Linked DNA regions of Macaca fascicularis. The protein of the gene in region 1 binds, or shares a complex with, the protein of each later gene. Links are inferred from orthologs where the notes say so. Each region holds a gene or a part of one and is shown on either strand. Other genes may lie near its edges.

Evidence for each region. The genes of interacting proteins can lie anywhere in the genome.
Region 2: the proteins of MUSK (region 1) and DOK7 are in contact, whole or in part, in a crystal structure (PDB 3ML4), measured with the Mus musculus proteins. The link is inferred for Macaca fascicularis from reciprocal best matches to the Homo sapiens genes MUSK and DOK7. Residues at the interface, in NP_035074.2 of Mus musculus: Leu547, His548, Pro549, Asn550, Pro551, Met552, Tyr553, Gln554, Arg555; in NP_001335203.1 of Mus musculus: Leu154, Ser155, Asp156, Leu157, Arg158, Arg159, Tyr160, Gly161, Gly172, Thr173, Arg174, Ser193, Asp197, Val200, Arg201.

What each region holds. Positions count from the first base shown.
Region 1 is NC_088389.1:47,325,435-47,329,911, forward strand, and holds part of MUSK (muscle, skeletal receptor tyrosine-protein kinase), read right to left. Parts: intron 3,129-4,477; coding exon 2,927-3,128; intron 2,412-2,926; coding exon 2,220-2,411; intron 1-2,219.
Region 2 is NC_088379.1:3,716,264-3,720,740, forward strand, and holds part of DOK7 (protein Dok-7), read left to right. Parts: intron 1-1,567; coding exon of another isoform or gene 1,568-1,769; intron 1,770-3,299; coding exon 3,300-3,419; intron 3,420-4,477. UniProt on the Homo sapiens protein: Probable muscle-intrinsic activator of MUSK that plays an essential role in neuromuscular synaptogenesis. Acts in aneural activation of MUSK and subsequent acetylcholine receptor (AchR) clustering in myotubes. Induces autophosphorylation of MUSK.

The DNA.
Region 1 (4,477 bases):
GATCATGGACATCATACATATTCCCATTATACCTAACCACATTTATACATATCCTCCCACTTCCCATGTGTAAAAGGCTCGTGCAGCCTTTCCCAGAGCCATAGGATCAAAGAAAACATACTTGAAACTCCTTGATGTCAACTAATAAAAATCACTGGTGTTATTTTCAATAATTTCAAACAATGAAGTTTGAAAGATGCATTATTTACAAATTATAGGAATTCTAAAGTATACACCCCCAATGGGATTATCATTGCCATCCTAACCTTTTTTTTTTTTTTTTTTTTTTTTTGAGATGGAGTCTCGCTCTGTCCCCCAGGCTGGAGTGCAGTGGCGCAATCTTGGCTCACTGAAAGCTCCACATCCTGGGTTCACGCCATTCTCCTGCCTCAGCCTCCCGAATAGCTGAGACTACAGGCGCCTGCCACCATGCCCAGCTAATTTTTTGTATTTTCAGTAGAGATGGGGTTTCTCCATGTTAGCCAGGATAGTCTCGATCTCCTGACCTCGTGATCCGCCCACCTTGGCCTCCCAAAGTGCTGGGATTACAGGTGTGAGCCACTGTGCCCAGCTATATCTTAACCTTTTAATCTTTGTCCAGAATCTAAATTCCATGATGTAGGAACCATGGCTTACTCATCTTTGTACCCTCCATTGAGCCTAAAGTGCATCTTTGTACCCTCCATTGAGCCTAAAGTGGTGCCTTGCAAATTTTGGTTTCCAATACATATTTGTGTGAGATTTTCATTATGTATGTAACCTCTATGCCAGGGCCACCATGAGTGGAGATTAAGTTGTGTCTTCCCCAAGAGCACCAGGCCAAAGTGACAGTTGAAGATTAAAACCAAATTCATATTCTCTGGCTCAGCTGTGTGTCTGTAGAGCCACATCCATGCAGCAGAGAGGGTATTTTATTCCAGTTCACGCAAAGGTGATAAATAGGCTAATATTGGCCCTAATACATACTCCTTTCTTGAGCTCATTGTTTTATAAATTTTTGCCTTTTTATTCCTTTTCTGTTTGTCATTTCATGAACATCTACTTAATATCTACACATTATATTATAATGTAAGGAGTTATTATTTAAAACAATGTAAGAAATTATGATTAAAAATATATGATAAATTCTTTCCTGAAAAGGAAATATTATTGAACTGTATTACTAATTTCTTATTTGAAAACTGTAGAAGTGAAGATACATTTACATCTCCCATAAATTACTTACTTTAAATGCAAAAAAATATATTATCTCCATATATACTACTATTTTCCAGCAAAGAGGAGAAATTAAGATTTGAAGTGTATTATGTAATACAAATAAGGTTAATGATGTAATGATGTAAATAATTAACTAGTCTTTTTTTTTTTTTTTGCGGGGGACAGAGTCTTGCTCTGTCACCCATGCTGGAGTGCAGTGGCACAATCTTGACTCACTGCAACCTCTGCCTTCCGGGTTCAAGCAATTCTTCTGCCTCAGGCTCCCGAGTAGCTGGGATTACAGGTGTTCACCACCATGCCTGGCTAAATTTTGTATTTTTAGTAGAGACAGGGTTTTGCCATGTTGGCCAGGCTGGTCTTGAACTCTTGACTAAGGTGATCCTCCCGCCTCAGCCTCCCAAAGTGCTGGGATTACAGGCATGAGCCACCACACCTGGCCAGAATTAACTAATTTGATAAAAACTTTTTATATAGTATATGAATACTATATAATACTGTATATTACACTGTGTGTGTATATATGTATGTGTGTATGTGTATATGTGTGTGTATACACACACATTATACATATATGTACTATATCATTAGCTTGATATATACGTGTGTGTATATATATAATATATATTACATATATTATGATGATTTAATATAATTATAATGATTTAATATAAGGGGATATATTAATATAACATATTACAAAGTCAAAATAAAACCTTTATGGCAGTAGATGCCTAAAGCCATTTGAAATAGGACACTTGCAAAATTGGAGGTTACAAGAGACGCCCATCTATGACTTCTTAGTCTGAGTGTAGACCCAGTGATTATGCCCTGAGTACCAATGGCTAATATTATATATATATATAAAAAAATATATACACAGTATATATAATATATATATATATATATAAAGCTAATATTATATATATACCAAGCTAATAGTTTGGTAGCTTTTCAGACATAACATATTTCAATGGAGACTGTTTTTCCAAACATAACTTTACCTTGCTTGAAACACCCTTCCAAACGCTCCCTCTCCAATGTCTCTCACATATTCAATGTTATTTCTTGGATACTCCAGGCTGAGCAATTTGGGGTTCAGAAGGAGCGGCATCCTCTGGTACATGGGGTTGGGATGAAGTCTATCTAGTAAGAGCTCAGAAGGCAGTGTGGTGAGGGTTACTGCTGCTGATTCTCTGCAGGCAAGACAGGCAAGATCAGGAATGAGCTCAGAGGTAGGTACGATCTTTGTACTTAGACTTAGATTCTAAGAAATATGGCATTTAAGAGTAAAGAAAACAAATTATACTTAGGCAGCCAAAGATCCTTCGGTTTGAGAGCAATAAAATATTCTGTTTGTGGTCTAGAGTCAAAAGGCACATTTTCTCAGAAATGTTTAGCTCTCCAAGCCAGCAATGGCAATTGGCCTGAGAGAGAAGACAAGGAGCAGGAATAGCCATTTTCCTCCAAATTCTTGTTTAGATTTTACCTTTTGTGAAACAGTAACCCTAGGGCATTTGATTTGATCCTATGCCAAAAAGTCATTGACATTTGTAAAGATCGTGATGGGGGTGCTTAATTTTAAAGCAGGGCTACGGATATATTTAGAGAGTTGCAGTGTCATATATATTCCTCGCGTCATACCAACTCCATATTAAACATGAGGTTTTAAAATATTACTACACGTGGTTAGCTGAAACTAGAATCTCACCTTTTCTTATTTTTCCATTGTTTTCTTCTTCGGCAGCAATAGAGAGTAGTGATGGTAAGAAGCGCAAATATTGCAAAGCTGGACATGATGGAGATTATTACAGTCATGGAGTATGTAGGTGAGACAGAGAAGGAAGAAGAGGAGGAGGAAGGCAAATTTGGAATGTCCACACTTGGCTTTGAGGACGTCATTGGTGGGAATGCTGTAAGTAAACAATAATTATTCATTTTCAAACCTTTAAGAAGCAACTTTTTTTTTTTGTATTTAAGCAATCAGTAAAATAAATTTCATGTTAAGAATATATTTATGTATCAGGTTCTCCCTGGTTATATATCTATAAAGTTCAGTAAGGTCTAATTGTAAGTAAATCCAGCTTGTAGAATAATAGAATTTTAAAGATGAGAGTCAGAGAGAGGAAATAGGTTTTTGTTTTTTTTTTCCCTGAGCTAAATGCAGATCTTGGTCTGGTGCCATTTATACTGAATCATGTTATCTATGACCTGACATAAATCATGGAAATTATCAAATAAAATATTTTCATGTAATTACACTTGACATCAGGATTGTCTAGAGCTGAACTTTTATACACATTTACTGTCAGTTTACAAACAGAAGAAAAAATCATGAAAGAAGATGAAAAATGAAAATATTAGGACACAAATGAGAAAAAGTTCATGTAAAAACTGAACTCCTGTCAAACTTCAATTTAAAAGTCCAATGTGATATATATATATAAGTAAAATCAGCATTACTTTTGGAAAACAAAAGATGCCATACTCATACCACTATTTGTAGAGTACAAAGTCCATTGTATATGTATTAAAAGAACCTTATTAATCACATTTTAAATCCTTTTAATAGATTGAGTAAAGACAAAAACGGGGATACAGAGTATTTTAAAATAATCAACAACAATGTTTTAATAGCTAAGAATGACCTTTGTACCCCAAAATAGGGAATAAACCTTCTTTTCAAATATTTGTGGATTAATCTCAATAAATTTTAAAAGCAGAAATTATGCATATCTACTTAATGGCCAAAGTGCAATTAATAATAGATTAAATAAAATCCAATGGGACATTTTTAAAAAAGAAAAAAATCAATGATCTTTTTATCAAAAAATAGAGAGTAACCATAGTTACAGATTAGACACAAGCCTCTTAAGAGTGTGTATTTTATTTAGCCAAAGTTGTGCTCAAAGATAAAGTCATAGTGTTATCTCCTTTCACTCGATAAAAAGAATGAAAGTGAAGGAACTGAACATTTAACCCAAGACTTTGGGTAAGAAACAATAACTACAGAAAACAAAAGATAATAGGTAATAAAGTAACAGCCATACACAAGCAGAAATTAATAAGTTAGAATACACATAACGCAAATGATAAAATTAAAAGATCAATAGTTGGTTTTATAAATATTCATATAGTAGTCTAATCAATGGAATTTTAATTAAAAAGATAGAAAGGGTACAAACATAGAAAATTAGAAATGATAAAAAAGTTATAACAGATTCAAAGTTAATTAAAATAATATGTAATTATATATTTCACA
Region 2 (4,477 bases), on another chromosome or scaffold:
TGGCGCGGCCGCACCCCTGCAGGCGTCTTCCTGCCTAATGGCTGCCAGCAGGTATGGATGGTGTGGTTGGCATGGATGACATGGTCGGCGTGTTCGACTGTGCAAGGCGAGGGTGTGCAGGGTGCAGGGCGGGGACAGGGACAGGCAGAGGCGGCAGGAGGCTGAGGAGGGCTCCCCGCTCTCTCCTGCTCCCCGCTCTCTCCTGCTCCCCGCTCTCTCCTGCTCCCCGCTCTCTCCTGCTCCCCTCAGGCGGTTCCCAGGGAACAGAGGCCGTGCCAGGGAAGCAGCACTGGGTAGAGGATGCTGGGGAGGGTCGGCCTGGGACAGCCACTAGACAGGATAGGCCCCACCGCGGCAGCAAGCGGGCCAGCCCCAGGCAGGGTCATTGCTGACAGCTGGAGGGAGTTGGGCTGACCAGAAGTCCCAGACCCCACTCCACAGGATGTCCTTGTCAGAGTCAGCTGGGAGCTCTCAGAAAGCTCTGCTGTCAGGGCCTCGGCCTGCAGCTGTGCCTCCCAGCTGTGCCTCCCAGCTGTGCCTCTGCAGGTGTGTGGGGGCCTCAGGCCACCTGGAGGTGCTGGTGGAGCTGGGACACTATGCTGGGCAGCACCCCGCCGGAGGAGCCGTGGGCCCAGCCCCTGCAGGCTGGAGTCATGGGAAGGTCTGGGCTGGTGGGGTCGTCTGCCCAGGCTGGCAAAACACTGGCGCCCTGTGATCACAGGGCTCCCACGACAAAGCCCTGCGGGCAGCATCCTCATGCTCTGGGCTTTTTTTTTTTTTTTTTTTTTGTTTGTTTGTTTGTTTGAGACGGAGTCTCGCTTTGTCACCCAGGCTGGAGTGCAGTGGCCGGATCTCAGCTCACTGCAAGCTCCGCCTCCCGGGTTTACGCCATTCTCCTGCCTCAGCCTCCCGAGTAGCTGGGACTACAGGCGCCCGCCACCTCGCCCGGCTAGTTTTTTGTATTTTTAGTAGAGACGGGGTTTCACCATATTAGCCAGGATGGTCTCGATCTCCTGACCTCATGATCCGCCCGTCTCGGCCTCCCAAAGTGCTGGGATTACAGGCTTGAGCCACCGCGCCCGGCCTGCTCTGGGCTTTTTGCCATCCTCCTGTGCTGAGTCTGCTGTGACCCACCGGAGGGGCCGAGAGATGCAGGAGGTCCAGCCCCTTGGTCTTCTGCACGTGGACACCAAGGCCCAGAGGCAGCCAGACCAGCCAGCAGCAGGAGGGAAGGGCTCAGAGGCCCGGTGTCCGCCACGCTCCGAGCACAGCGTGCATGTTACCTTCTTGGCCCAGCCTCCACGGGGGTGCACCGTTGCTGCACCCTTTTGCAGATGAGGTTGAGAGGCTCAGGGGGTGCATGGTGGAGCTGGGAGTCGATCTGTGTCTTGCCCACCAGCTACTGGATGGGAAACGGTGGGAGGTTGTGTCCTGTGTCCTGACCCTGGTGTCACCGAGGGCCGCTCTTCATCCCAACTGCAGGGCACTGGCTTTGTGGGGGGCCCTGGTCGGAACACCCGAGGGCTGAGGGACAGCGGTGCTGTCCTGTCACTGTGCTTGTCTTCAGCCTGGACCCTCAGCACACCAAGGAGCCAAGACTGGCGCCTGCTGTCCTGCCCACGCGGCAGAATGTGTCGGTGAAAGCGCCAGGAGCTGCCAAGCCGAGTGGCCTGTGGGCTCCATGGCCACCAGCAGCCTGTGTTGGGAGGGACTGGGGCCTGAGCTGGCACAGCCTTGGCTGCCATTGCCTTCCACCCTCCCAGGCACAGGTAGGGAGGGGACAGCAGAGAGGCTTGTACTGGCCCCATCCCTGTCCCTGGCAATGCTACAGATGGGGCCACAGGGTCATGGGCTGGCAGGGCCCCAGGCTGACCCGGGCAGTGCCTTGGGACGGCCATACCCGGAGGCTGGGGGAGGCTCCTCCAGGTCCTTCTTGCGTTCCTGGGCCGGGTGCTGTGAGCTCTCGCCTGCCCATGGGGAGAGCCCTGTTCTGAGGTCCTGATGGGGCCTCCTGTTGTGCTCAAGGGCCCCAGCTGGGCGCCTGAAGGTGTCAGCAGAGGACAGTGTCTTATCAGGGATGGGGCCTCTTCAGCCTAGATGTGAACCCGGACAGGGACACCATTGCTTTCTGTTTGTTTCTCCGGAACCCTGACTACGGGGTCAGGATGTCCGGCTCCAACCTCCGCCAGGCTCGGTTCTGTCCACCGAGGCTCTGATCCAGGTGTCCCAGGCTGGGGACTGTACCTTCCAGTCCTCTGTGCTGCAGGATTTGGTGTAAACTTTCCATGCTGCCACTGCTCCTGGATTTTGGGGAGAGCAGGTCCTTGGGCCTGTTTCGGCTCAGTCCTGCAGGTGCCCCCAAGGTGGGTGGCAGGAGGTGTGTCCTGGAGGCCCAGAGGAGGCCACCTGGAGCAGGACGGGGTCGGTTTGCTCTTGTGCTTGTAGCTGTGGCTTCCCTGCCAGGGAACCTCTTTGGGGCGGCTGTGGCCGTGGGTGCTATGGATGTGGAAGGGGCGGGGTCTTGAGCCCTGCTGTTTGGAGCACGGCAGCCACTCAGCCTAGTGCCCACATCACTTAGTGCCCGGGACATCCCAGCACGGGCGGGGGGCTTGGGGACCAGGGCGGTGATGCTGAGGCTCGGGACAGCGGTGCCGAGGGGCCAGTGAGAAGGGAGGTTTCCTGCCACTCAGTCCCAGAGGACCCAGAGGACACAGGGACGATGACCAGAGAGGGTGGGGCTGCTGCTCCCTGGATGCAGCCCTGAGGGAGGGGCTGGGTGGGGCCGAGGGTCCGCAGACCACTGTGCTCTGAGCCTCAGGCACAGTATGAGGCTCCATCCAAGGCCCCAGGGAATGGGACCACCACAAGGTGGGCGGGCATTTCCCCAGGCAGAGAGGAGCCTGTGAGAAATGGGCACTGTGAATCAGGGGCAGGCAGCCCCTCTTGCAGTGAGACTGGCCCTGGGGATGGGGGAGGGGCTGGCCATTTTTGGAACAAAAAATTGAAAACCTCCGTGGCGAGGAAGAGGGGTCTGGCGTGGGGTCCTGGTGAGTGGACAGGTGGCAGGGCCATCCATGGGTGCAGGGACCCAGCAGGGCGGATGGTGGCCTGGATAGGGGTGGTGTGGGTGCAGCATTTGAGGCCCAGCATCTGGGCTGAGGCATGGGGAGAAGCAGGGACTCCCAGGGGATTGCCACTCCACGGAGGGGGCCACCACCGCGTCAGGCTGGGCCTGGTGCCTGCGGGCAAGGGTGGGCGGTGGGGGCCACTTCCTCCACTGAATCTTCTCTCTGCTGCAGACCCAAGTCCCCCGGGACCCTCGACTGTGGAGGAGCGCGTGGCCCAGGAAGCCTTGGAAACCCTGCAGCTGGAGAAGCGGCTGAGCCTCCTCTCGCATGCAGGCCGGCCGGGCAGTGGAGGTGGGGCCAGGGGCTGGCCTGGGCTGTGGGACTTCAGCTAAGTCTCCAGTGGGAGAGCTCAGGAGGCTTCCATGCATGTGTGGGGGCTGCTGGCTCCCTCTGCTCATTCATTCCTTCCTTCCCCCCCACCCACTCATTCATCCTTCCTTCCCCCCCACCCACTCATTCATCCTTCCTTCCCCCCCACCCACTCATTCATCCTTCCTTCCCCCCCACCCACTCATTCATCCTTCCTTCCCCCCCACCCACTCATTCATCCTTCCTTCCCCCCCACCCACTCATTCATCCTTCCTTCCCCCCCAGTCATCCTTCCTTCCCCCCCAGTCATCCTTCCTTCCCCCACATTCATCCTTCCTTCCCCCACAGTCATCCTTCCTTCCCCCACAGTCATCCTTCCTTCCCCCACAGTCATCCTTCCTTCCCCCACAGTCATCCTTCCTTCCCCCACAGTCATCCTTCCTTCCCCCACATTCATCCTTCCTTCCCCCCATTCATCCTTCCTTCCCCCCCATTCATCCTTCCTTCCCCCCCATTCATCCTTCCTTCCCCCCCATTCATCCTTCCTTCCCCCCCATTCATCCTTCCTTCCCCCCATTCATTCCTTCCTTCTCCTCCTGCTCCTTCCTTCCTTCTTCCTCCTGCTCCTTCCTTCCTTCTTCCTCCTGCTCCTTTCTTCCTTCCTTCCCCGCCTGCTCATTCCTTCCTTCCTTCCCCCCCTGCTCATTCCTTCCTTCCTTCCCCCCCTGCTCATTCCTTCCTTCCTTCTCGCACCGCTCATTCCTTCCTTCCTTCTCCCCCTGCTCATTCATTCCTTCCTTCTCCCCCTGCTCATTCATTCCTTCCTTCCCCCGCCCACTGCTCATTCATTCCTTCATTTCCCTCCTGCTCATTCATTCCTTCATTTCCCTCCTGCTCATTCATTCATTCCTTCCCCGCCTGCTCATCCATTCATTCCTTCTCCCCCTGCTCATTAATTCCTTCTCCACCTGCTCATTCATTCCTTCCTTCTCCCCCTGCTCTTCATTCCTTCATTTCCCTCCTGCTCATTCATTCCTTCA